Linked DNA regions of Oryctolagus cuniculus. The protein of the gene in region 1 purifies or fractionates together with the protein of each later gene. This does not show direct contact. Links are inferred from orthologs where the notes say so. Each region holds a gene or a part of one and is shown on either strand. Other genes may lie near its edges. The genes, in order: TAF5L and ATXN7L3.

Region 1 (3,801 bases):
GGACCCTCTCACACAGAAGTCACATTTGTTGGGTAAATGAGTACTTTGGGATCAGTAGTTGGAAATGCTGATACTGTAGATGTAGTCTAAGGCTTTTAAAACTTGTTTTGTGACTCGAATCTATGAGAAGGTCTCCAGAAAGTTCCTGGAAAACGTGTATTCTGAAAAAGTCTGTATGGATTTAAAATTTTTGGCACCAAAATAAACTTATCTTTTAATTCTGTTTTTCCATGAGCTTTTTGAACTACCCTCTTATTTGAGAAAAACTTGTCTTGACTCTATCTGGAATAAAATGTAATTGTTGTATAGCTATTTTGTGAGGTCAGCTTTTTGATGATATGATTTTCTTACATGGAATTTGTATACAGTACTGGAGATTGTGGGAAAACATCACGGTGTTGCTTTGGGATGTGAACTACTGTAATCGCTCTGTGGCAGTGGTGCTGGAGCTGGCTCATTCCCATCTTAATACGCTCAGCCTGGGTCCTTTTCTCCTCCTTGTTCCTGGCCTTCCTCTATTCTTCTTGTATCTGTCACCAACTTTTCCATGCCTTAATGGTTTCGGGGTCCACATTGGTCACAGCGTTACCACAGCTCCCTCGTTTCATACCACTGTCAAAGTCAAGGGCCCAGCCTTTTATGCTCAAAGGTTTATTGCCTTTGCTATAGCAGAAGAGCAGCAGAACAGTACAGACCTGAAGATGTCCTCAAGAAGAGGTTCCTGACTCCCTCTGTAGTTTTTTGGACTGTGGGAGCAGTAATTGTGTGCTGTGGTTGATAGAAAGTAGGAATGACCACTGGTAAAGGGTCTTTACTCTTCTTGGTCATCCTCATTTAGATACAGTGGTTTATGAGACAAGTCTGTATTGCTCCTGGAGGACTGTCGGAAAAGTGAGAAACATGGGATCTGGTTGTCATAAGTAATTCTGTCTTCATTCAGACGTTCATTGACTATCATCTAGACCAAGTGCTGGGAAATTCTAGAGACAGCTATTTGCTCCTGTCTCCTGAGAAGCTAAATTTTCTAATCAGGAAGTGAGGCAGGTACATCAGTGGCTATAGGAGAGTGTGATGTAGTAAGCTCTGTGAAGATGGGGTGCTTTGGGTTCAGAAGGCACAGAGAACATGATTGTGGCATTATATAGACAGGTCAAAGGAGGGCTTCCCCAGAGGTCTCCTGGCTCTTGGCAGTTGGACAGAGGGCAGTAAGCAATAGAAGGATTGAGCTGGTTTTCAAAGAACCATTCAGAATATACAAGCAAGTTGAGGAAGGCATCTAAGTTATTGAATCTAAATTTTAGTAAAGTTAGTCTGATGGCAGTATTGATTGAGGAGGGAGTCAGGGACTCTACAACAGTTAGAAGTGAGAGCAGCCCAAGGTAAGAAAGTGGTAATGGGAATGCAGAGGAGAGAGTAGATTGTCGGACCCTCTGGGACTTAGTGACTGATTAGATAAAGGTGGGGGCACTATGAAGGTGAGGGAGGAGTCCCGCTCTCCCACACGAGCTATCTAGCAGATCCTCCTGCTTCCAGCTGCTGAGTTCTGGTAGGGTCTTCCGACTTTCTTCTCATCTGTATCTCCCTTCTTGTGCCTTCTATCTGCTGCTTCACTTTCCAAATGCCTGCAACAGCCAGGGTTAGGCCAGGCCGTAGCCAGTAGTCTAGACTCCATCCAGGTCTCTCACACGGGTGGGTGGCAAGAATCCAAGCACTTGAGCCATCATCTGCTGCCTCCCAGGATATATTAATAGGAAGCTGGGCCAGAAGTGGAAGAACTGAGACTGAAACTGGCACTGGAATATGGGACGTGGGTGCCTCAAGTAGAGGCTTAACCCATGGTACTACAATGTCTACCCCAAGGAGTTTTCTTTTGAGAAAGCATAGACTTCATAGAATGGGATTAAGTCCATGTTTACATATTTAATATAGAGACTCCAGCCTGCTTCCCCTCTTTAGCTGCCTTGAATGATATAGCCAGGCACATCTACAAGGAAAAGATTGTCCCATGGTGAGTCTGACCTACCCACCATAAAAGAGTGAAAGACATTGATTTGGGCACATGACATCTCCAGTGTGGCCTGGAAGATGAGTGACACCAACTGCAGAATATTCATCAGCGCTGGAACCATGAGACTGCTAGAAGAAATGTGTCCCATATGAGAGACCAATGAAAAGAAACAGAAGAAAACTTTAACCACCGTAATAGCTTTGGAACAAGAAAATAATGCTTTTAGAGGAAGAAAAAACTTTCAAAGAACAAAAAAAAAAAACACAAGTGGAGTTGAAAGTTGAGGAAACTTCCCAGAAAGTAGAGCCAAAAGGCAAAAATATGGACTATGGGAGAGAAAATTCATGGGTTAATTTAGGATATCCAGCCTTGAAATAGGTGTCTTGGGGCTGTGGTGTAGCAGGTTAAAGCCCCAGCCTGCAGTGCCAGTATCCCATATGGGTACCAGTTTGAATACCAGCTGTTCTACTTCTGATCCAGCTCCCTGCTAATGCTCCTGGGAAAGCAGTGGAGGATTGGCCTCCTGCATCCATGTGGGAGACCCAGAAGAAGCTCCTGGCTCCTGGCTTCTGGCTGGCTCAGCTCTGTCTGTTGCTGCCATTTGGGGAGTGAACCAGCAGCTGGAAGACCTCTATCTCTCTGTCTCTGCCTCTCTCTGTAACTGTACCTTTCAAATAAATAAAATATATCTTAAGAAAAAAAACTCAGGTGTCTTAGCAGATAGGAGAGAATTTCAAAATGATTGAAGAAAATGGAGTCATTGTTGGAACTGGGAAGCATGCATTTCCAGATTGAAAGGGCCCACTAGGTAATACAGCCTGTATTTGACAGTGGCTCCACACCAAGGCATGTTATTATTAAGTGTCAGAACTTGGGTCACACACTTCCAGCTACAGCTCAGCTTTTCCTCTCTCACTTGACTTACTTATCCTATACTTTATAAACAGTTTCATTTCTCATTTGGTTAGGTGTCATGAGGGAGGGGGGGTAAACAGGTGTCATCAATGTCACATTTAACCACAACCCTCAAGATACCTTGCAAATGTGATGAAATGGCAGTTGCTATTAATGTATGCCCAGTACCCTCCTCCACCTGTCATGCCACATAATGGGTTAATAATTGTCTTTTTATCCTTGTCGTGTATCTCTTTTCCTCTTTAGTTCAATCCGAATCTGGTTGTGCCAATATAGTGTCTGCAACCCCTTGCCAGGCAGAACCCCAGCAATATGAAGTACAGTTTGGGCGACTGAGGAATTTTCTCACTGGTAAGTACTCAGCACCAGGAACTCTATTCTTAGAGTGCTGCAGTTTCCCTCTGGACCCTACTACGTGCCAGGCGTTATACTTGGTAGTAGAGATCACAGGTACTTCAGCACTGTCCTCGCATGGTCTCCAAAACTTTCGGCCTGTTGAAAGTCTGGAGAAAGTGAAATTGTAAGGTTAAAGTTAACAAGGGTGAGGATTCTGGCTGTTTTATCTGTGGCCCTCAGTACAGTGACTTGTGACTTATGTTAAATAAACAAAAGCTAAACCAGCTAATCATGATTCTTTGCCTGGTGGGATCACCCAAACCTGTATTGGTACTGCTACCTGGCTGTGGTTTTTCGTTGACTACAGTCACAGGACATGGTAATACCAAGTGATGCACAGGAATTTCCTTATGCCAGACATCCTCTTCCTCGCTGCCCTTATAAAGTGCCGGTCCATGCTTCCCTTGGTCATTGGGCCAGTTGCCCCAGGCATTGCAGTGGCTCCCTGCTTTCCCTGTTGATCCAGAAGTGTGAAGAGCCCA
Region 2 (4,265 bases), on another chromosome or scaffold:
CCCCAGACCCAGAGGCCCCGTGACCTCAGACAGAGGGCAGGACGCCCTGCCCCGGGGGAGGGGAGCTGTCCTGGGCCCACACTCCCCGTGCTTGCCCCGCTCTCACCTTGTCTGATTTTCTCTTCTTGGCTGTGAGGGGCAAAAAAACCACAGAGCAGGGTTACTTCGTGTTCTCAATCTGAGGGCAGCCAGGAAAGAGCGTAAAGCGACACACGGCCCCCATCACTCAGGACAGCTCATGACCACTGCGTACCCTCCACCCACCCCACCGGCCCATCGCATCCCCTTGTCCCCCAAACACCTTTTTTCTCCGAGCCATAGGACCAGTCATTGTCGTTGATGTCATCGTTATCCTCTTGGTCACTCTCAGACTTGTTCATGTTGTTGCTATTGGCAATCCTGCCAAGGGGAGGAGACAGGGGAGGGTCAAGGCCGCTGCCCCTTCCCATCCACACCTCCAGAACTACAGAGGAGCACTGGGGGCCAGGGACGGCCCACCCTGCGGACACAGCACAGCGCAGGCCGGGTTCCAGCAGGGGGAAGGCCCTCACCGGCGGTTGGCGATTCGGCTGCTGTTCCGACCCATTCCTAGGCACTTCTCCAGATGGGGAGCAAAGCGGGAGGCAGCTATGCTGCGGCTGCAATTGGGGCAAACACACTCCTTGCTCTTCCACTGGTTGAAAACCTGTCCAAAGATGTCCAACCCCGGCTGGTCCACGATCTCTGGGGACAGGAGAGGTGTGGCGGTCAGGGCGGGCAGGGCGCCCTCGCCTCTTGCCCCCACCCCTGGTCCCGAGGCCTCTTCAAAGCCCTGTCTGAGCTCACAGGAGCTCCGGGCTCTTCAGCTAGGGCGGCTGCCAGGGCAGGGGACACGCTGTCCTCCTTCCGCCCTGAAGCTCACCAAAATCCTTCATGCTATCGGGGTCCGTGTCGTCCAGGAAGAAGTAGCCGCACTTGACAGCCCGGTGCACCTCGAAGCAGAATCCCAAGCAAGAATCCTCGACCAGGTCCGCGTATAGCTCCTGAGCGATGGCCTGGGCCCCAGGGGAGAACACCCAGGGTCACGAGAGGCGCGACTCTCGCCAACCACGGCGCCTGCCACGCAGCCCCGGCCACACAGCATGCGCTCTCTGCCACTGTCCCCATCGTGGCTTCGCGTTCGTTCTGCTTCCTGGGTCCTCGGGCCTCCGCAGCTGGCCGTTCCCTTTAAGGAGCGAGGCTGACTACCCAGATTCCTCTTTGGTGGGGATGCCAGGTATTGCGACGTGGAGACGCCGAGAGCGAGAACCAGAGGCGCACGTGGGGGAGCCCTCACCTCTAGTTTGCTGTTATCCAGGCCAGACAAAGACATGTCCTCCATTTTCATTTGTAAACTCTTGTGGAGACGGCGCTCTGACTGCTCATAGCACAGCGGGCGGCAACACGGCTGCACACATGGGGGTGGGGGTGTCCGTGTGAATCTAAGGCACCCCTGGAGACTGCCACCTCCCGTCCCACCTCGCTGCCCAGAGTGGGATCCTGGAAGCAGGGCCTCTCTCTCCCCCAAGGCCCAGGCTCACTGAGTGCGGCCGCTCTGGCCGGCCTGAAGCCGAGGTGGCCTAGTCCTCCCCAGGCCTGAGCCCGGGCCCTGCACGCCACTGCCAATCTCAGCCTGGGTCTACAACAGGCAGCTGCTCACCCCAGGTCCCCAAAACTCAAACCCCTCTCGGGTACCCATGGTGCAATGCAGCAGGGGGAGGAGAAGGAACTCAGGCCTCAAAGCGAACCCACAGGGTGTGGCAAAGAACTGCACAGACTCCTAAGTACACCCCCCCTCCCCTAAAGGCTCTCCTCGGAGTCACCTCTGCTTCGGCCAGGATGTCCACTTGGGGGGGTACTGCTACCAGAAGTGGCAATGGCCCTAGGACCCTACCACCTTCACCCCACTCGGTCTTCCCTTGAAATCAGCCGGCCGCTCCAGAGAGGGGCAGAGCCCGCCGCAGCCCGGCGCTAAAGGGCACCGCAGGCCCGCCGCCGGCGGAGGGGACAGCGCGCGGTGGGGTGGCACGCCACGCCACGCCACGCCACGCCAGGAGCAGGGCACTCCCCTTACCTGTTCTTCTTTCCGAGAGCCACCCTCCCTCCCTCAGGACCTGCCCGGAAGTCTCTCCAAGAGCCCCAAAGTCCAGCAGCCCCCACCAAAGGATTCAGAAACAGCGCCCACAGTCCGGGGCCCCTCCGAACGGTGGGTACGAGTTTAAGGGGCTGCCGGCCCACAGTGGGGTGGGGACTGACAAACGAGCCAGGGGCACTGGGCAGGGTAGGAGGCCCGGCCTCGGCTCTTCCCCCGTCCCTGCGGCACTGCTGCATCATACCGACTGGGGGGAGGAGAGCCGAGCCGCCCGAGGCCGGCGCCGGGCCGGGCCGGACCGACCCCCAGAGAGTGGGCAGAGTGGGACGCGTCCCGGCCCCTCTCTTTCCCAGCCTGCCGGCGGCCCGGCCCGACCGGGCACAGGAGTCCGGGAGGGTGTCTCTATTGTCCCGGGGGCTGGGGCCTGGCTCCCTAACAAAGGCCCCGCGCCCCCTCCCCGGCCGGCCCTGCCCCGCCCAAGGGGGGTACCCAGACAGGGGGAAGAGCAGGGGGCCCCGGCCGGGCCGGGAAGCCGGGGGAAGCCGGGCGTTTCCGCGTCGGCCCGGGGGGAGGGGAAGGGGCGCTGACCCAGACCTGGGGGGAGGGGGCCCAAGCCCCGCCTCGGGCCCCGCCCCCCGCCCCCCGCAGGCCCCTCCCCCGTTCCCGTCTCCGTCCCGTACTCACCCCGCCCGGGGGGCCGCGCCGGGGCCCGGCGGCCTCTCAGGGCCGCGTCCTCCGGCGGCGGCGGCGGCGGCGGCTGCTCCGGAGCCCCATGTCCGTCGGTCCGTCCTCGCCTCTCCCCGGGGCCCAGGGCCCGGGGCCGGGGGGTCGGGGCGCCCCCCCGCCTCGCCGCCTCACCGGGCGGCCATGGCCCCTTCCCCTCCCTTCTCGTCCCGTCGCCGCCTCCTCCTCCTCACCTCACCCCGCCCGCGCGCAGTCCGCGCGCCGTCCGCGCGCCCCTCCCCCCGCCCCCCACTCCAGCCCGCCTCTCCCGGGCGGGGGGTGCGGCGCGAGCCCGGAGCGCGCGCGCGTGCCGCGACCGGAGGATGGATGGATGGAGCGAGCGAGAACGCGAGAGTGCGCGCGCGCGCCCCTCTCCCCCTCCCTCCGCGCGGGCGCGAGGCCAAGCGCGAGCGCGCTCCAACCTCCTCCTCTTCCTCCTCCCGCCCCTCCTCAACACCCCGCCCTCGCCCTCCCTTCCTCTTCCTTCTTTCGCTTTCGCGCGCCCAGCGCCTGCTCGCGCCTGCTAGAAGGGCCCGAGCGCGTGCATCTGCCCCGCGGCCGCAGCTCGGCAGCATTTGCTCCAGGGGGCGGGGACCGGGAGGGGAGGAGGGGCGCCACGCCGCCGTCCAAAGTACCGGCGGACGGGAACGGGGGCGGGGAGAGAGGCGGGGCCTCCCTGGGCCACCCTGGCCAATCGCCGGGCCGCCTCCGCCCGGGAGGCCCAATAGGCTGGGAGTGGGTGGAGCAGCGTTCAAGGTGAGGTGCGCGGTGCGCTGGGGGCGGAGACGCTGTGCCGTCCCGGCCGGCTCGGGGGCGGGGGCAGCGGGTGGCGTCGAAAGAGAGCGCCGGCTCCCAGCCGAGCCTGGGACGCCTTCCGGCCCAGGCTCCCCCGCCCTTCCCTCGGGGCTCTCCGCCCCCACCTCTCCGCCCCGCACACCCCTGCTCCCCACCTTCACGCTGAGGCGGGCAGCCACTTCTGTGACGAGGACGGACTTGAAGCGGGGCGCCGGCAGGCTCTCAGGGTGGAAGACCCATGGAGCCGCGGGGGGCTCGGCCGCGCCTCCGTCTCTCTGGTGTCTGGGCGGGTCGCAGCCCGCTCCGGTTCTGTGAACCGGGAGCCGCCCGGGATGAGGGTCCACGGCTGAGGGCGGAAGCCGAGCTGCGCCCTGCTGAGCGGAGCGCTCTCCCCACCCTCATCCTAATTTAGATCCCACACCTGCTCGCCTTTCCTGCTTCCGGAACCCACGCTGGACCCCCTACCTCTCGGACAGCTTGCCTGGCACTGGCCGGACTCTATCCGGGACCCAGTGCCGCTCCCTTGGGGGTGTCCCTGTGCGCACACTCCGAGCCCCCTTTCCGCAGCCGCAGTGCGCGCCTCCTGGCATGGTGGTGTGGCAGCCCTCTCCCCCCAAGGGATGAGATTAGGGGAGAC

What was found.
Region 2: the proteins of TAF5L (region 1) and ATXN7L3 purify together in Homo sapiens (affinity purification with mass spectrometry; 7 studies listed by BioGRID and IntAct, counting the BioPlex papers as one, with this or other methods). This does not show direct contact. The link is inferred for Oryctolagus cuniculus from reciprocal best matches to the Homo sapiens genes TAF5L and ATXN7L3.

The regions. Positions count from the first base shown.
Region 1 is NC_091444.1:49,352,941-49,356,741, reverse strand, and holds part of TAF5L (TAF5-like RNA polymerase II p300/CBP-associated factor-associated factor 65 kDa subunit 5L), read left to right. Parts: intron 1-3,169; coding exon 3,170-3,274; intron 3,275-3,801. UniProt on the Homo sapiens protein: Functions as a component of the PCAF complex. The PCAF complex is capable of efficiently acetylating histones in a nucleosomal context. The PCAF complex could be considered as the human version of the yeast SAGA complex.
Region 2 is NC_091448.1:19,059,430-19,063,694, reverse strand, and holds the start of ATXN7L3 (ataxin-7-like protein 3), read right to left. Parts: upstream 2,936-4,265; 5' UTR 2,795-2,935; intron 2,670-2,794; exon of another isoform or gene 2,093-2,669; intron 1,983-2,092; exon of another isoform or gene 1,842-1,982; intron 1,427-1,841; 5' UTR 1,367-1,426; coding exon 1,316-1,366; intron 1,035-1,315; coding exon 902-1,034; intron 724-901; coding exon 552-723; intron 400-551; coding exon 302-399; intron 130-301; coding exon 107-129; intron 1-106. UniProt on the Homo sapiens protein: Component of the transcription regulatory histone acetylation (HAT) complex SAGA, a multiprotein complex that activates transcription by remodeling chromatin and mediating histone acetylation and deubiquitination.